Saccharomyces cerevisiae S288C: one gene and its partners. The gene in region 1 interacts genetically with each later gene. Each region holds a gene or a part of one and is shown in the gene's direction. Other genes may lie near its edges.

Region 1 (5,217 bases):
TTGATTTTCTTTAAGGCGCTATTGGAAGTTCTTACAAGAGCAAGAATATTGAAAGAGACTTCCAATTTCTTCCAATATAGGAAGAACTGGGGGAGTATTATCAAAGGCACCCTTTTCAGATTATCTATCATCGCCTTCCCTCAAGTTTCTCTTCTGGCGATTTGGGAATTTACTCAGGTCAACTCTCCAGCGATTGTTGTTGATGCGGTAGTAATATTACTGATCATCACGGGACTTCTGGTTTATGGAACTATAAGGGTTTTCATCAAGGGAAGAGAGTCTCTCAGATTATACAAGAATCCTGCGTACCTACTTTACAGTGATACCTACTTCTTGAACAAGTTTGGGTTCTTATACGTTCAATTCAAAGCAGATAAGTTTTGGTGGCTTTTACCCTTATTAAGTTATGCGTTCTTAAGATCCCTGTTTGTTGCCGTTTTACAAAACCAAGGTAAGGCTCAAGCAATGATCATCTTTGTCATTGAACTAGCTTACTTCGTTTGTCTCTGTTGGATAAGACCATATTTGGACAAGAGAACTAATGTTTTCAATATTGCTATTCATTTGGTGAATTTGATCAATGCATTTTTCTTTTTGTTTTTCAGTAATTTGTTCAAGCAACCAGCAGTGGTTTCGTCAGTGATGGCGGTTATTCTGTTCGTTTTGAACGCGGTGTTTGCTCTATTCCTATTATTGTTCACTATTGTCACCTGTACACTGGCATTACTACACAGAAACCCAGATGTCCGTTACCAACCAATGAAAGATGACCGTGTGTCATTCATTCCTAAGATTCAAAATGATTTCGATGGCAAAAACAAAAATGATTCTGAACTGTTTGAATTGAGAAAAGCTGTTATGGACACCAATGAAAATGAGGAAGAAAAAATGTTCCGTGACGACACTTTCGGCAAGAACCTGAATGCAAACACAAATACAGCAAGACTCTTTGATGATGAGACTAGTTCATCCTCTTTTAAGCAAAATTCCTCTCCCTTCGATGCCTCGGAAGTAACGGAGCAACCTGTGCAACCAACCTCCGCTGTCATGGGTACGGGTGGCAGCTTCTTGTCTCCACAGTACCAACGTGCGTCATCTGCTTCTCGTACTAATCTAGCGCCGAATAATACAAGCACCTCCAGTTTAATGAAGCCTGAATCAAGTCTCTACCTGGGGAATTCCAATAAATCATATTCGCATTTTAACAACAACGGCAGCAACGAAAACGCCCGCAACAACAACCCATATTTGTAATCCAATATATACTCACATGTAACAACTTATTATATAAATATTTAAGGGCAAGGATATCCTACATTATATTTCATAGAAAACCGCTCAAAAAGGTGTATTATCTCCATTACATCCCAACACCACACATATTTCAGCGATAAAAACCTTAAATGTGAAATTCGCTTTGGCTCTGCTTCCTTAAATGTACGCAATTGCCGCTTTTTTCTGACATCTTTTTTGACGTGTAGAGAAGGAAACAGATCCTCCAGAAGGGATTTACTGTTGGCTATTTTGTGTTAGAAGCAGGTTAATAATAGATTAGGTTGCGTAAGTCATGGTCGAAAATAGTACGCAGAAGGCCCCACATGCCGGAAATGATGATAATAGCTCTACCAAGCCATATTCGGAGGCGTTTTTCTTAGGGTTCAATAACCCAACGCCTGGATTAGAAGCTGAGCACTCAAGCACATCGCCTGCCCCCGAGAACTCCGAAACACATAATAGGAAAAGAAATAGAATATTGTTTGTCTGCCAGGCTTGTAGGAAGTCAAAAACAAAGTGTGATAGAGAAAAACCTGAATGTGGTCGATGCGTCAAGCATGGGTTAAAATGTGTTTATGACGTATCAAAACAGCCAGCACCACGAATTCCGAGTAAAGACGCCATTATATCAAGGTTGGAAAAAGATATGTTTTATTGGAAAGATAAAGCTATGAAGCTACTAACAGAGAGAGAGGTGAATGAATCAGGCAAGAGATCAGCAAGTCCGATCAATACAAACAATGCTAGCGGGGACAGTCCTGATACCAAGAAGCAGCATAAAATGGAACCTATATATGAACAAAGTGGTAACGGGGATATAAACAATGGTACCAGAAATGATATTGAAATCAACTTGTATAGAAGTCATCCAACCATGATCATGAGTAAAGTCATGAAAAGAGAAGTTAAGCCGTTATCTGAAAATTATATTATAATTCAGGACTGTTTTCTAAAAATCCTGGTCACTTCAGTGTTCCTTGACACTTCAAAGAACACGATGATACCGGCATTGACGGCAAACGCGAATATTACAAGAGCCCAGCCTAGCGTAGCAAATAACCTTTTGAAATTGAAGGAAATGCTAATCAGACAGTGTCAAACCGAAGATGAAAAAAATCGTGTAAACGAATTCACTGATAGAATACTACAAAATACAAATTCAAATAGAAACTTGAAAATCGGTATGCTATTATCAATGCTTTACAATTCTGTCGGTTACCAATATCTGGAGGATCATTGCCCTCAAGGTGGCGAATATTCGGATTTATTGAGAAATTTGATCAATGAATGTGAAGCTATTTTGCCATCTTACGAAATTATTGAACGCTACAAGAACCACTTTTATGAGTACGTTTATCCAAGTCTACCTTTCATCGAATTAGAAATTTTTGAAGAATCATTAAGTCAAACAATTTTTCCGGACCCAAACAACCCCTCCAAGGTGCAAATACGTATGGGTAGCACACATTTGAGAGCTAAGGTGGAAAACTTGAGTCTTCTATTGGTTATCTTGAAACTCTCATACATGTCAATAAGGTTTTTAGATCATAGTACAGCAGACTCGAGTTTTTATCTTTCAAAGGAAATAATTGATAAATACCCAATACCGAACGATTTTATTTTATTGAGTCAAAGATGTCTAGCATCGGAAAATTGGTGTGCATGCGCTAATGAAAACATCATATCATGTTTACTATATATCTGGTCTTTTTTTGCTTTTTCTCCTGAAGAGGGTGATTTCTTTCTCGAGCACCCCACCGATGTTATCAGTAGTTTGATAATGATGCTTTCCACCTCGATTGGTCTCCACAGAGATCCTTCAGATTTCCCTCAATTGATTTCCCCGTCCACCTCAGATAAAAGAACCTTGAATCACAGAAGAATACTCTGGTTGAGTATCGTTACCGTTTGTTCGTTTGAAGCAAGTCTCAAAGGTAGACATTCTGTCTCACCGATATCTTTAATGGCCTTATTCCTAAATATTAAGGATCCTGATTCTCTGACGGTATATATGAACCGAGTTAGGGGCGATCTAAGCGATATCAATAATCACAAACTTTTGAGAATTCATAAATTTACATTCAAGAGAGCCCAGCTTGCGTTACTCCTGTCGGACTTAGATAACTTGACGATGACATACTATGGTAGTTTCCATTTGCATTCAATTGAATTCATAAGAGAAAAGATTGAGATTTTTGTGGAGGAAAACTTTCCCATAGTACCATTAAAAAGTGTCGCACAGGATAAGTCAGACCTTGATGACATGAATGTGATTTCAGAAATGAATATATTATCTTCAGAAAATTCTTCTTCATTTCACAATCGAATAATGAATAAACTATTGATGTTGAGAACTTCAATGGCCGTATTCTTGCATTTTGAAACACTTATCACTAAGGATAAAAGTATCTTCCCATTCTACAAGAAATACTTTATGGTTAGCTGTATGGATGCGTTGTCACTAATAAATTATTTCAATAAGTTTTTCAACGGAGAATATCGACACGCAATATCTTCTTTAACCAGTTTTAATGTTACAAAATTTATTCAGTTAGCACTATCCAGCACAATCTTCAGCCTATTAGGGATTATACTAAGAATAGGTTTAGCCATCCATATGTTATCTTCTGAAGTACAAAAGTTATCGGGAACGACAGATCCAAGAATAAAGGAGTTAAATACCAAAGTCGAAAAATTTAGTACCCTGCAAAGAGATCTCGAGTCTGCTTTAGAAGGTATATATTGCTCTGCTTCGGAACATTTAAGATTCACATACTTCCCCGTTTTTAAGATGTTGGCTTTATTCGATGTCATTGTACAAAGGATGAGAAAGGGTGAATTATGGCACGGCATATTTACGATGATTCAAATGGAACAAATGCATTCTAGGATAATCAAGACATTAAGCATTACCTTAGGAGTCAAACTGGACAAAAAGGATAGGCTATTAGAGGAATTGATGGCATGCAATCACGTTGCGAATTTTAGCGTTGAAGATATAGATGAGCTGAACCGTAATATCAAAAAAGAGATTCAAATTTCTTCAGGATTGAAGCCGCCTGTAAACACAATTGACTTAACCAACGGCGAACCATTCGGAAATGCTGTTCCTACCTTCACAAAGACATGGAGTTCATCCTTAGATAATTTAGAAAAACTATCATCGGCCGCTGCAGTTGGTCAGAGCTTGGACTACAACAGTGGTTTACGTCAGGGTCCTTTGGCGGGTGGTGGTTCAAAAGAGCAAACGCCAATAGCCGGGATGAATAACTTGAACAATTCAATCAATGCTACACCAATTGTCGATAACTCATCTGGATCACAACTTCCTAATGGTTTCGATAGAGGCCAAGCGAATAATACTCCTTTTCCAGGTTATTTTGGAGGTTTGGATTTATTTGATTATGACTTTTTGTTTGGCAATGACTTTGCTTAAAAATTTTCTTTCCAAACTCCTACCTATTCATTTCATCAATTAATTAATATTATATAGCCACGAATTTATGAAACTGACCGATAATATAAAGTGCTCAATATATATATATATGTATATAACGGTTAACGTAAGAAGAGCTCTTCCCTCTTAAACATTCGAAAAATGATTGAACCAGTATATTTGGTCGAGCAAGACTTTCTCCTTCGCATATTTTACGGCAGGTATGGATATATCGCCTCTTGCTGCAAACCCGTGAGCCACACCACTGAAGAGGTCTAACTGGTAAGTAGCGTGATTATCCTTTAATTTTTCCTCCGTTAAGTGTCTTAAGTTTGCCGGAAAGATGTGATCCTCTTCCGCTGCTGAAATCAATATTGGTTTCTTGCTATCAATTGCTTCAATTTCCTCGATGCTGACGAAAGATGGATGTGCAATGGCTGCAGCATTGGCAAGACCCCCGTCGCCACTAATGTGTTGGACGGCAAACTTTGCACCAAAACAGTAAC
Region 2 (3,791 bases), on another chromosome or scaffold:
AACTGAAATGTCTCGCCATTAACCAGGACCTAAAAATTGTCCATTCAGAAACAGTGGAATTTGAAAAGGATCTTCCGCATTATCACACAAAGAAGGGTGTCTATATACACGGCGACACTATCGAATGTCCCGTAGCCATGTGGTTAGAGGCTCTAGATCTGGTTCTCTCGAAATATCGCGAGGCTAAATTTCCATTGAACAAAGTTATGGCCGTCTCAGGGTCCTGCCAGCAGCACGGGTCTGTCTACTGGTCCTCCCAAGCCGAATCTCTGTTAGAGCAATTGAATAAGAAACCGGAAAAAGATTTATTGCACTACGTGAGCTCTGTAGCATTTGCAAGGCAAACCGCCCCCAATTGGCAAGACCACAGTACTGCAAAGCAATGTCAAGAGTTTGAAGAGTGCATAGGTGGGCCTGAAAAAATGGCTCAATTAACAGGGTCCAGAGCCCATTTTAGATTTACTGGTCCTCAAATTCTGAAAATTGCACAATTAGAACCAGAAGCTTACGAAAAAACAAAGACCATTTCTTTAGTGTCTAATTTTTTGACTTCTATCTTAGTGGGCCATCTTGTTGAATTAGAGGAGGCAGATGCCTGTGGTATGAACCTTTATGATATACGTGAAAGAAAATTCAGTGATGAGCTACTACATCTAATTGATAGTTCTTCTAAGGATAAAACTATCAGACAAAAATTAATGAGAGCACCCATGAAAAATTTGATAGCGGGTACCATCTGTAAATATTTTATTGAGAAGTACGGTTTCAATACAAACTGCAAGGTCTCTCCCATGACTGGGGATAATTTAGCCACTATATGTTCTTTACCCCTGCGGAAGAATGACGTTCTCGTTTCCCTAGGAACAAGTACTACAGTTCTTCTGGTCACCGATAAGTATCACCCCTCTCCGAACTATCATCTTTTCATTCATCCAACTCTGCCAAACCATTATATGGGTATGATTTGTTATTGTAATGGTTCTTTGGCAAGGGAGAGGATAAGAGACGAGTTAAACAAAGAACGGGAAAATAATTATGAGAAGACTAACGATTGGACTCTTTTTAATCAAGCTGTGCTAGATGACTCAGAAAGTAGTGAAAATGAATTAGGTGTATATTTTCCTCTGGGGGAGATCGTTCCTAGCGTAAAAGCCATAAACAAAAGGGTTATCTTCAATCCAAAAACGGGTATGATTGAAAGAGAGGTGGCCAAGTTCAAAGACAAGAGGCACGATGCCAAAAATATTGTAGAATCACAGGCTTTAAGTTGCAGGGTAAGAATATCTCCCCTGCTTTCGGATTCAAACGCAAGCTCACAACAGAGACTGAACGAAGATACAATCGTGAAGTTTGATTACGATGAATCTCCGCTGCGGGACTACCTAAATAAAAGGCCAGAAAGGACTTTTTTTGTAGGTGGGGCTTCTAAAAACGATGCTATTGTGAAGAAGTTTGCTCAAGTCATTGGTGCTACAAAGGGTAATTTTAGGCTAGAAACACCAAACTCATGTGCCCTTGGTGGTTGTTATAAGGCCATGTGGTCATTGTTATATGACTCTAATAAAATTGCAGTTCCTTTTGATAAATTTCTGAATGACAATTTTCCATGGCATGTAATGGAAAGCATATCCGATGTGGATAATGAAAATTGGGATCGCTATAATTCCAAGATTGTCCCCTTAAGCGAACTGGAAAAGACTCTCATCTAAAATATGTTTGAATAATTTATCATGCCCTGACAAGTACACACAAACACAGACACATAATATACATACATATATATATATCACCGTTATTATGCGTGCACATGACAATGCCCTTGTATGTTTCGTATACTGTAGCAAGTAGTCATCATTTTGTTCCCCGTTCGGAAAATGACAAAAAGTAAAATCAATAAATGAAGAGTAAAAAACAATTTATGAAAGGGTGAGCGACCAGCAACGAGAGAGACAAATCAAATTAGCGCTTTCCAGTGAGAATATAAGAGAGCATTGAAAGAGCTAGGTTATTGTTAAATCATCTCGAGGGAAAAATTCAAAAATGCTAAGTGCAATTTCCAAAGTCTCCACTTTAAAATCATGTACAAGATATTTAACCAAATGCAACTATCATGCATCAGCTAAATTACTTGCTGTAAAGACATTTTCAATGCCTGCAATGTCTCCTACTATGGAGAAAGGGGGGATTGTGTCTTGGAAATATAAAGTTGGCGAACCATTCAGCGCGGGCGATGTGATATTAGAAGTGGAAACAGATAAATCTCAAATTGATGTGGAAGCACTGGACGATGGTAAACTAGCTAAGATCCTGAAAGATGAAGGCTCTAAAGATGTTGATGTTGGTGAACCTATTGCTTATATTGCTGATGTTGATGATGATTTAGCTACTATAAAGTTACCCCAAGAGGCCAACACCGCAAATGCGAAATCTATTGAAATTAAGAAGCCATCCGCAGATAGTACTGAAGCAACACAACAACATTTAAAAAAAGCCACAGTTACACCAATAAAAACCGTTGACGGCAGCCAAGCCAATCTTGAACAGACGCTATTACCATCCGTGTCATTACTACTGGCTGAGAACAATATATCCAAACAAAAGGCTTTGAAGGAAATTGCGCCATCTGGTTCCAACGGTAGACTATTAAAGGGTGATGTGCTAGCATACCTAGGGAAAATACCACAAGATTCGGTTAACAAGGTAACAGAATTTATCAAGAAGAACGAACGTCTCGATTTATCGAACATTAAACCTATACAGCTCAAACCAAAAATAGCCGAGCAAGCTCAAACAAAAGCTGCCGACAAGCCAAAGATTACTCCTGTAGAATTTGAAGAGCAATTAGTGTTCCATGCTCCCGCCTCTATTCCGTTTGACAAACTGAGTGAATCATTGAACTCTTTCATGAAAGAAGCTTACCAGTTCTCACACGGAACACCACTAATGGACACAAATTCGAAATACTTTGACCCTATTTTCGAGGACCTTGTCACCTTGAGCCCAAGAGAGCCAAGATTTAAATTTTCCTATGACTTGATGCAAATTCCCAAAGCTAATAACATGCAAGACACGTACGGTCAAGAAGACATATTTGACCTCTTAACAGGTTCAGACGCGACTGCCTCATCAGTAAGACCCGTTGAAAAGAACTTACCTGAAAAAAACGAATATATACTAGCGTTGAATGTTAGCGTCAACAACAAGAAGTTTAATGACGCGGAGGCCAAGGCAAAAAGATTCCTTGATTACGTAAGGGAGTTAGAATCATTTTGAATAAAAAACACGCTTTTTCAGTTCGAGTTTATCATTATCAATACTGCCATTTCAAAGAATACGTAAATAATTAATAGTAGTGATTTTCCTAACTTTATTTAGTCAAAAAATTAGCCTTTTAATTCTGCTGTAACCCGTACATGCCCAAAATAGGGGGCGGGTTACACAGAATATATAACATCGTAGGTGTCTGGGTGAACAGTTTATTCCTGGCATCCACTAAATATAATGGAGCCCGCTTTTTAAGCTGGCATCCAGAAAAAAAAAGAATCCCAGCACCAAAATATTGTTTTCTTCACCAACCATCAGTTCATAGGTCCATTCTCTTAGCGCAACTACAGAGAACAGGGGCACAAACAGGCAAAAAACGGGCACAACCTCAATGGAGTGATGCAACCTGCCTGGAGTAAATGATGACACAAGGCAATTGACCCACGCATGTATCTATCTCATTTTCTTACACCTTCTATTACCTTCTGCTCTCTCTGATTTGGAAAAAGCTGAAAAAAAAGGTTGAA
Region 3 (3,703 bases), on another chromosome or scaffold:
ACGCAAAAAAGGATGACGACAACACTTTGAAGAGACTAGAAAATTTCATTACCAACACATTCAGGAAGATCAAAGGTGACAAAAAAAATTAAACTTCATGCAATTTCTTGTAGATAAGGAAAAATAGAAGCCTTTACGTAAATAGATAACTATAGTTAAATAATTGTGCATAAAAGAACCAACGATTTATACCTTATTTTTTTTTTTTTTTTTTTATTTATTTTTTTTTTTTTTGCGTAATACAAGCGAAGGCATTGTTTACATGCCAAAACCCAAAACTGAGCTCGAGAGAATAGTTGACGAACGGAAGCTGGATATCAACATAAAATAATGAGCTTACCCGATGGATTTTATATAAGGCGAATGGAAGAGGGGGATTTGGAACAGGTCACTGAGACGCTAAAGGTTTTGACCACCGTGGGCACTATTACCCCCGAATCCTTCAGCAAACTCATAAAATACTGGAATGAAGCCACAGTATGGAATGATAACGAAGATAAAAAAATAATGCAATATAACCCCATGGTGATTGTGGACAAGCGCACCGAGACGGTTGCCGCTACGGGGAATATCATCATCGAAAGAAAGATCATTCATGAACTGGGGCTATGTGGCCACATCGAGGACATTGCAGTAAACTCCAAGTATCAGGGCCAAGGTTTGGGCAAGCTCTTGATTGATCAATTGGTAACTATCGGCTTTGACTACGGTTGTTATAAGATTATTTTAGATTGCGATGAGAAAAATGTCAAATTCTATGAAAAATGTGGGTTTAGCAACGCAGGCGTGGAAATGCAAATTAGAAAATAGTATTGCTGTATAGTACATAGAGGTCGACATATATATATATATATATAATTTTATATGGCATCTAGAGCCTCTAGGGATATTATGGAGTTGCCCCTAATGACGGTCTGCAAGCCTAGCTGGTGGTTATTGGCAGGGTCTTCACCATTTATCTCCATTGCATCATCAAGAACGACGTTTAAGAAAATATCGTAGCCTCGCAAAATTCCTGCCACTTTCCTAGATCCATTTATATTCAGCAATATCTTCTTGTCCATATATTTCTTCAGTTCAGGGGTAGAAACCATTGTATCTGTGCGTGTGTTTGCGTAATCCTGTCCTATGCCGGATACTCTATATGCGTTGTACTTTCTTATACATTCATTGCACCTTTAGAGATTTAATTTTTCTTACCACATTGTTTCTATCAGCACAAACGTGAAAGAGCGTAGGCGAGGCTATAGGAAAAAAGGGAAATGAAGAACAGAGGAATACTCGAACAATGCCACTGACAAACGTATGCGTGACTACCACGAATAGTCATGATGCAATGTACCCTCATATATCCCACTAAAAATATATACTTACTAATGGTTTATGCACGTGAATATCACGTGAATCGTTTTTAATGATGACTCGTTTTTAGAATACTTTATCATCTCGAACGGCTGTTCCCTCATTGGCGAGAAGTCTCCGCGGAGCAACTTAATGGAAACTTAGTGTATTATAATGCTAATAAACAATTTGATGATAATTCGTACCCTTTGACTCACCTCGAATATATATAGATATATATATACATATAACGTATATTTATATATATACGGTTTTGTTCGATTGTCTCTGTCGTACCATCAAAGAACATACTAACAGTTCACAATGTTAAGAATCAGATCACTCCTAAATAATAAGCGTGCCTTTTCGTCCACAGTCAGGACATTGACCATTAACAAGTCACATGATGTAGTCATCATCGGTGGTGGCCCTGCTGGTTACGTGGCTGCTATCAAAGCTGCTCAATTGGGATTTAACACTGCATGTGTAGAAAAAAGAGGCAAATTAGGCGGTACCTGTCTTAACGTTGGATGTATCCCCTCCAAAGCACTTCTAAATAATTCTCATTTATTCCACCAAATGCATACGGAAGCGCAAAAGAGAGGTATTGACGTCAACGGTGATATCAAAATTAACGTAGCAAACTTCCAAAAGGCTAAGGATGACGCTGTTAAGCAATTAACTGGAGGTATTGAGCTTCTGTTCAAGAAAAATAAGGTCACCTATTATAAAGGTAATGGTTCATTCGAAGACGAAACGAAGATCAGAGTAACTCCCGTTGATGGGTTGGAAGGCACTGTCAAGGAAGACCACATACTAGATGTTAAGAACATCATAGTCGCCACGGGCTCTGAAGTTACACCCTTCCCCGGTATTGAAATAGATGAGGAAAAAATTGTCTCTTCAACAGGTGCTCTTTCGTTAAAGGAAATTCCCAAAAGATTAACCATCATTGGTGGAGGAATCATCGGATTGGAAATGGGTTCAGTTTACTCTAGATTAGGCTCCAAGGTTACTGTAGTAGAATTTCAACCTCAAATTGGTGCATCTATGGACGGCGAGGTTGCCAAAGCCACCCAAAAGTTCTTGAAAAAGCAAGGTTTGGACTTCAAATTAAGCACCAAAGTTATTTCTGCAAAGAGAAACGACGACAAGAACGTCGTCGAAATTGTTGTAGAAGATACTAAAACGAATAAGCAAGAAAATTTGGAAGCTGAAGTTTTGCTGGTTGCTGTTGGTAGAAGACCTTACATTGCTGGCTTAGGGGCTGAAAAGATTGGATTAGAAGTAGACAAAAGGGGACGCCTAGTCATTGATGACCAATTTAATTCCAAGTTCCCACACATTAAAGTGGTAGGAGATGTTACATTTGGTCCAATGCTGGCTCACAAAGCCGAAGAGGAAGGTATTGCAGCTGTCGAAATGTTGAAAACTGGTCACGGTCATGTCAACTATAACAACATTCCTTCGGTCATGTATTCTCACCCAGAAGTAGCATGGGTTGGTAAAACCGAAGAGCAATTGAAAGAAGCCGGCATTGACTATAAAATTGGTAAGTTCCCCTTTGCGGCCAATTCAAGAGCCAAGACCAACCAAGACACTGAAGGTTTCGTGAAGATTTTGATCGATTCCAAGACCGAGCGTATTTTGGGGGCTCACATTATCGGTCCAAATGCCGGTGAAATGATTGCTGAAGCTGGCTTAGCCTTAGAATATGGCGCTTCCGCAGAAGATGTTGCTAGGGTCTGCCATGCTCATCCTACTTTGTCCGAAGCATTTAAGGAAGCTAACATGGCTGCCTATGATAAAGCTATTCATTGTTGAAAACAGGAAATAATAAACAGTATAGTATATATATTTATGAAGAACCGCTTAGTATTGAGTAAGTAAAAAAAAATTGCACAAGGAATTAATATATGAGGAAACTACTAGTCGATCAGATAAGATATTATGACCAGATATGCAAAAAAAAGGGGGCGAGCTGGGAATTGAACCCAGGGCCTCTCGCATGCTTTGTCTTCCTGTTTATTCAGGAAGTCGCCCAAAGCGAGAATCATACCACTAGACCACACGCCCGAATTATTGTTGCGTTAATAAGAAAAACAGAAATATTTATATAGGAGAGTGATTAAAGGGAATCTTCTATCAACAATATCCATTCAAATTCAGGCGCATAACGTGAGTGAATATAGAATTGAGCCTCCTATTAGTCTTCCCGATTTCATTCGAGAAACATATCAGGATTAACCTGTACATTATGGTGTCTGTATTACTATTTTACATGTTCACGTTTATTTCTTGCTCATATATTCATATGGATGACCACTACGTTTGCTACCATTAAGTCTAATTATTTCAGCAA
Region 4 (5,614 bases), on another chromosome or scaffold:
GGTGGCCCAGTAATCTCGCTGGATCTGTTGATCAAACCAGGGGCTGGGATAGCACCTTGCCATGTAGGATCGTTCCTGATTTGTTCGGTTTCCGGCAAGAAATCAAATCGGTATTCACCAGAGTCTAACTTTGATTGTAAATTGCTTCTGTTGGCTAAAAGCTGTTTCCGTGTTGAATTGAAAGTTCTATGCAGCAAAACAATGAACTCTAAGGCATCTTTTGTTAAAATATCAGCTACAGTAGTTTTGGAAGGTTCAAATTGAGGAGTCGTGTCGATGTCTGCGTATAGAGCAGTGTTGTCCAAGCTTATCTTCACCATTGTTCAGTGCTCTTTACCGTGCCTATGACACATACTCTAAGTGATATCAACTGCACAGAAAGTGAAGAATTAAGACTACATGCGTAAATGTCCCCATTTTATACTTATTGCTTCACCAATTGACGAAACTATCCAATCTTTGTGATACTTTCACGATGTACCTTATCCAAGATAAGCCAAAACTTATGAAATTCAATTTATGTGATAAGAAAAGCAAACGCAATTTTCCAAAATCCGCGGTATTCTATCGCACCGCAACTTTCAGCGGAGATTTTATGTCGATAATCGTAAACCTATGAAATTACTAATACATGAACATTTACATATTTACTTCGCCCACAGTCGCAGAATTAGATGATAATACAAACGTCGCCATCGCTGTAGTGTTCTTCCACACAGTCCTTCTCGGGCCTGTCAGGGTCCAGACTTTCGTAGATTAAGACTGAAAAATCCAAATGTTCTTCCTTGCCAAGTACTATCATGGGCGCATGCCAGGTACCTAAGCCATAGGTAACGGCCTGATTACCCAAACATGTAAAAGCCCTCAACGTAGACAAGTCTGGCTTATTTCCAATTTCTTTAGCGACTACTACCAAGTATGCTACTTCCGCTGACGTTCTCCCCATAGGCACAAACGTCTGCGTACTACACGGATGCTTTTCGAGGACTTTGATAGAATGAGAAATCGCCTGATTGGAGCCTTGAGTGAATACTCTATTCAGGTGCGGCTGTGGAAAGCAACGGAATAGGTTCCAATTGGGAACTTTACTGGTAGATTTATTCTCTACCTGGCTTACTTGAAGCAATTTGATCGCTGTTCCCTGGTTTGCACCTTTTTCAAGGTTTTGCATCCTTGAAATCTCTTCATCTGGCGAAATTATCGTCCCATACTCCTCGAAGGACTCTTTCGTCAATGTCTCCGCCACCACGGTCACCATATCTTTGCTTCAAAGATTTTTTGCCCTACAAGATAAGCATCAAGAGCGATTGGATGACAGTTACTGACTTATATATGCGAATGCACATGAATAGACCGCATATGCTTCTTATCAGTCTTACCTCGCTTATCTTTCCCCATTTATTTGCCAATCCATCTTATCTTATCTGGCACTTTGTCTCAGGGTTAGTGTTACAAAAAGGCTAGGACTTATTTCCAAAATTCTACTTTTGAAAATAACCCTAACAATAAAAGCAAGGGCATTCTGATGTTACCCTAGAAATGTCGTATTTCTTTTTATATCGTGGATCATGACAAAAAACTCAACATTTTCAAATGGGTGAGCTCTAAACCAGAAAATACAGCCGCCGAAAGCCTTTTAAAAGGACAGCGGCGCTTGATCAACAGTCGTTCTTGGGGTCGTTAAGACTAGATCCTGCTTCCCCCCCTTATTGTGCATTTAAAGGCACTTATTGAAGGTCATTTTGGCGAACAGAACATTTCGTTATGCAGCAGAACAGTGAGTTCTTAACGGAAACACCTGGAAGCGACCCTCATATATCTCAATTGCACGCGAATAGCGTAATGGAATCACAGCTCTTGGACGATTTCCTCCTGAACGGGTCTCCCATGTACCAGGATGATAGCATGGCGCATATTAATATTGATGAGGGTGCTAATTTCCAAAATTTTATCAAGACAGATGAGGGTGATTCGCCCAACCTGTTGTCTTTCGAAGGTATCGGTAACAATACTCATGTCAACCAAAACGTGTCCACTCCACTGGAGGAGGAAATGGAAAGTAACAGAGCCTTGAAGGAGGAAGAAGAGGACGAGCATGAAAATAAGGTTTTTAATGAAAAAAATATAGGCAACCCTGCTCATGACGAGATTGTATTTGGAAGAAAGGAGACGATTCAATCTGTTTACATAAATCCTTTAGATTACCTTAAAGTGAACGCAGCGCAGCTACCTTTGGATGTAGAGGTCTCAGGTTTGCCACAAGTATCTAGAGTGGAAAATCAACTGAAACTGAAAGTGAAAATTACGTCTGAAACACCACTAAACCAAAGCATGCTTTACTTGCCTAGCGATTCCATTTCAAGAGAAAAGTTTTATTTAAAAAAAAATATCGAGGATTTTTCAGAAGACTTCAAGAAAAATCTTCTGTACATCAATGCGTTTGTTCTATGTGCGGTCAGCAACAGAACGACAAATGTTTGTACCAAGTGTGTTAAGCGAGAACAAAGAAGAGCCGCTAGAAGGAAATCAGGTATTGCAGACAATTTACTCTGGTGTAATAATATTAATAGAAGGTTAGTCGTGTTCAATAACAAACAGGTTTTCCCCATAATGAAAACTTTCGATAATGTTAAGGAGTTTGAATTAACTACCAGGCTAGTTTGTTATTGCAGGCACCATAAGGCAAATAATGGCTTTGTCATATTATTCACTATAACAGATTGGCAAAATAGACTGTTGGGTAAGTTTACGACAACACCTATTATGATCACGGATAGAAAACCAGCAAATATGGATACCACCAAGTTTAATAACACTACTACCTCGTCCAGAAGGCAGCTAACGGAAGAAGAATCTACCACAGAATATTATTCAACGGATAACAACCAATTGAGCAAAGACGAAAATATGCCATTTCAATATACTTATCAACACAACCCATATGATAATGACAGTCAAATGAATAATATTCCACTGAAAGACAAAAACGTACCATTCCCATATTCCATCTCTCAACAGACAGATTTGCTTCAGAACAATAACTTATCACTGAACCTTTCTCTGCCCAATCAGCATATTCCATCACCAACATCTATGAGCGAAGAAGGCTCAGAATCATTTAACTATCATCATCGCGATAATGACAATCCCGTCCGTACTATCTCTTTGACAAATATTGAACAACAGAGTCAATTGAACCAACGGAAAAGAGCACGCAATAATTTGGAAAATGACATTGGTAAACCCCTATTCAAGCATTCCTTTTCAAATTCAATCAGTGCAACAAATACGATGAATCCAGCTTTACATTCAATGCAAGATTTCTCAATGAAAAACAACAACAATAATTTGCCATCAATTAATCGCGTTATACCTTCACAAGGCCCAATCAATGGTGGTATCGAAGTTACATTACTGGGTTGTAACTTCAAAGATGGTCTTTCTGTAAAGTTCGGCTCTAATCTTGCCCTTTCTACGCAATGCTGGAGTGAGACCACGATCGTCACTTATCTCCCTCCCGCTGCCTACGCGGGTCAAGTTTTCGTCTCTATTACTGATACGAATAATGAAAATAATAACGATGACCTTCCCCAAGAAATTGAGATCAATGACAATAAAAAGGCCATATTTACCTATGTTGATGATACTGATAGGCAACTGATTGAATTGGCTTTGCAAATTGTGGGATTAAAAATGAATGGTAAGTTAGAAGATGCAAGAAATATCGCGAAGAGGATTGTTGGCAATGATTCTCCTGATAGCGGTACAAATGGCAACAGCTGTTCAAAAAGCACAGGTCCCTCTCCAAACCAACACAGTATGAATCTGAACACAAGTGTTCTTTACTCCGATGAAGTCTTGATACAAAAAGTTATAAAATCATTGAACATAAATTCCAATATTTCCATATGTGATTCATTAGGGAGAACTTTATTACATCTTGCCTGTTTGAAAAATTACTCAAGCCTTGTGTATACATTGATTAAAAAGGGTGCTCGTGTTAACGATATTGATTCCTTTGGGCTAACTCCATTACATTTTGCTTGCATAAGTGGTGACCCTAAAATTATTAAGATGCTTTTAAATTGTAAAGTAAATTATTCACTGAGGTCACACAACGGATTAACTGCAAGAGAAGTATTCATAGCAAACCACATTCATTCAAAGGAAATAGACAAAAAACAAGATAACAGAGACAACCATAAGTTTGTTCATAATGACACTTATATCAGCGAAGTATTGTCATTGTTTGAAGAATTCCAAAACGGTACGAAGTTTACCGATAGTGTAGAAACAGACAGTAATTATTCTATTAGCAGGAAATATTCACAATCCAGTTTCAATTCAAGCCTGCTAGACAATGAATCTTTGAATGAGAACTTATTCGAAAGCCAAAGCATGATAAATCCCACTTCTATGGAGATTCAGCATCCAACCTTGCAACTATTTGAGAATTCAAGTTACTCTGAGTACGACCAAAGTGATTTCGAAGAAGACGGGGATGAAGATCTGTTCGTCACTGACGAAGTAGAAAAACCAGGTGTTGCATGCAGGGAGGAACAAAGCGAACTCCTTGATATTGGATCTAGCGCCAACGAACCCGAAGAGGATAATGGTAGTACATCTCTCTGGAATAGAGTTTTACATCGAATTAATGATGACTTACCAAAATATGAGGATCTGTTCCCGTTGTCTTGGGGTAAAGATGATAAATTGAAAACCACAAATCAAGACAGTATTGTGGAGCAGTCAGCATCTAATATTGAAAACTCTGAAAATTCGGAGGAAGAGGATTATGAGGAAGAGGAAGAATTTTTGAAAAAACAGTTTAACAGATTCTTCCAAAACAAACAAAACTTCCGAAATGATAAAATGTTAATATTTTTCTGGATACCCTTAACACTACTACTTTTGACATGGTTCATCATGTACAAATTTGGCAACCAAGATAGTTCCATCAATCATATAAGCGAATTAATCTCAGAGTACTTGAGAATTGCATTAGCAAAGTTCTTGCTGGGAAATGAAAGGATGAAAACTGCATTCAGGTCAAAATTATCAAACCTGCAAACAACAAGAATGTTGAACGATTTAATTGTCAGTTAGTCTGCTTTTTTACGTATATATATATATATATGTGTGTATAATGAAAAGACAGTACACTTAAAAGAAGAGAAAGTCATTTAAAAAAAGTCAAAAAAAAATTAAACTTGTAAATGTCAGCGTAACGATAATGTATATACTTTAAATGTAAACTACAATCTTGAAGATCTTTTAACACGAGCGCAATGTCTATCGAACAATTTCTTGGCTCTAACCCAGACAGGAGCAGTTTTTCTTTGAGGTAGGAGCTCTAAAGATGGTAAGAGATCATGAGAGAAAAATTCTGAAGCTTCTCTTGGCAGCAAAGAAGGCAAGTGATCAATAGAGATGACAGATAATTTAGGCCCGGCAGTGGTAGGTACCAGAACGGTAGGTTTGTTAAACACAGTAGCCACAGTGTATATTGGGATGGGGTTGTGAGGGTTGGTAGTGTCTGCTGATACGTCCACCACGGTCCTTAGTCTTCTGTTAGGATTATTCAGTTTCTCCATGTTAGTGAAAGGAGCAATTG

Evidence for each region.
Region 2: mutations in OAF1 (region 1) and PDX1 impair growth when combined (synthetic growth defect), as found in Saccharomyces cerevisiae (one study listed by BioGRID).
Region 3: mutations in OAF1 (region 1) and LPD1 impair growth when combined (synthetic growth defect), as found in Saccharomyces cerevisiae (one study listed by BioGRID).
Region 4: mutations in OAF1 (region 1) and MGA2 together harm fitness more than expected from each alone (negative genetic interaction), as found in Saccharomyces cerevisiae (3 studies listed by BioGRID).

Annotation. Positions count from the first base shown.
Region 1 is NC_001133.9:46,997-52,213, forward strand, and holds OAF1 (oleate-activated transcription factor OAF1), read left to right. Parts: upstream 1-1,567; coding exon 1,568-4,711; downstream 4,712-5,217. Other genes in the region: flavin adenine dinucleotide transporter FLC2, read left to right, coding at 1-1,254; protein AIM2, read right to left, coding at 4,859-5,217. UniProt on the Saccharomyces cerevisiae protein: The PIP2-OAF1 heterodimer acts as a transcriptional activator to induce the transcription of genes encoding proteins involved in fatty acid beta-oxidation, a response called oleic acid induction, when cells grow on fatty acids as sole carbon source.
Region 2 is NC_001139.9:883,991-887,781, reverse strand, and holds PDX1 (Pdx1p), read left to right. Parts: upstream 1-2,040; coding exon 2,041-3,273; downstream 3,274-3,791. Other genes in the region: XKS1 (xylulokinase), read left to right, coding at 1-1,709. UniProt on the Saccharomyces cerevisiae protein: Required for anchoring dihydrolipoamide dehydrogenase (E3) to the dihydrolipoamide transacetylase (E2) core of the pyruvate dehydrogenase complexes of eukaryotes. This specific binding is essential for a functional PDH complex.
Region 3 is NC_001138.5:101,090-104,792, reverse strand, and holds LPD1 (dihydrolipoyl dehydrogenase), read left to right. Parts: upstream 1-1,665; coding exon 1,666-3,165; downstream 3,166-3,703. Other genes in the region: MDJ1 (Mdj1p), read left to right, coding at 1-92; GNA1 (glucosamine 6-phosphate N-acetyltransferase), read left to right, coding at 331-810; mRNA splicing protein SMX2, read right to left, coding at 861-1,094.
Region 4 is NC_001141.2:414,360-419,973, forward strand, and holds MGA2 (Mga2p), read left to right. Parts: upstream 1-1,764; coding exon 1,765-5,106; downstream 5,107-5,614. Other genes in the region: malate synthase DAL7, read right to left, coding at 1-320; DAL3 (ureidoglycolate hydrolase), read right to left, coding at 671-1,258; LYS1 (saccharopine dehydrogenase (NAD+, L-lysine-forming)), read right to left, coding at 5,256-5,614.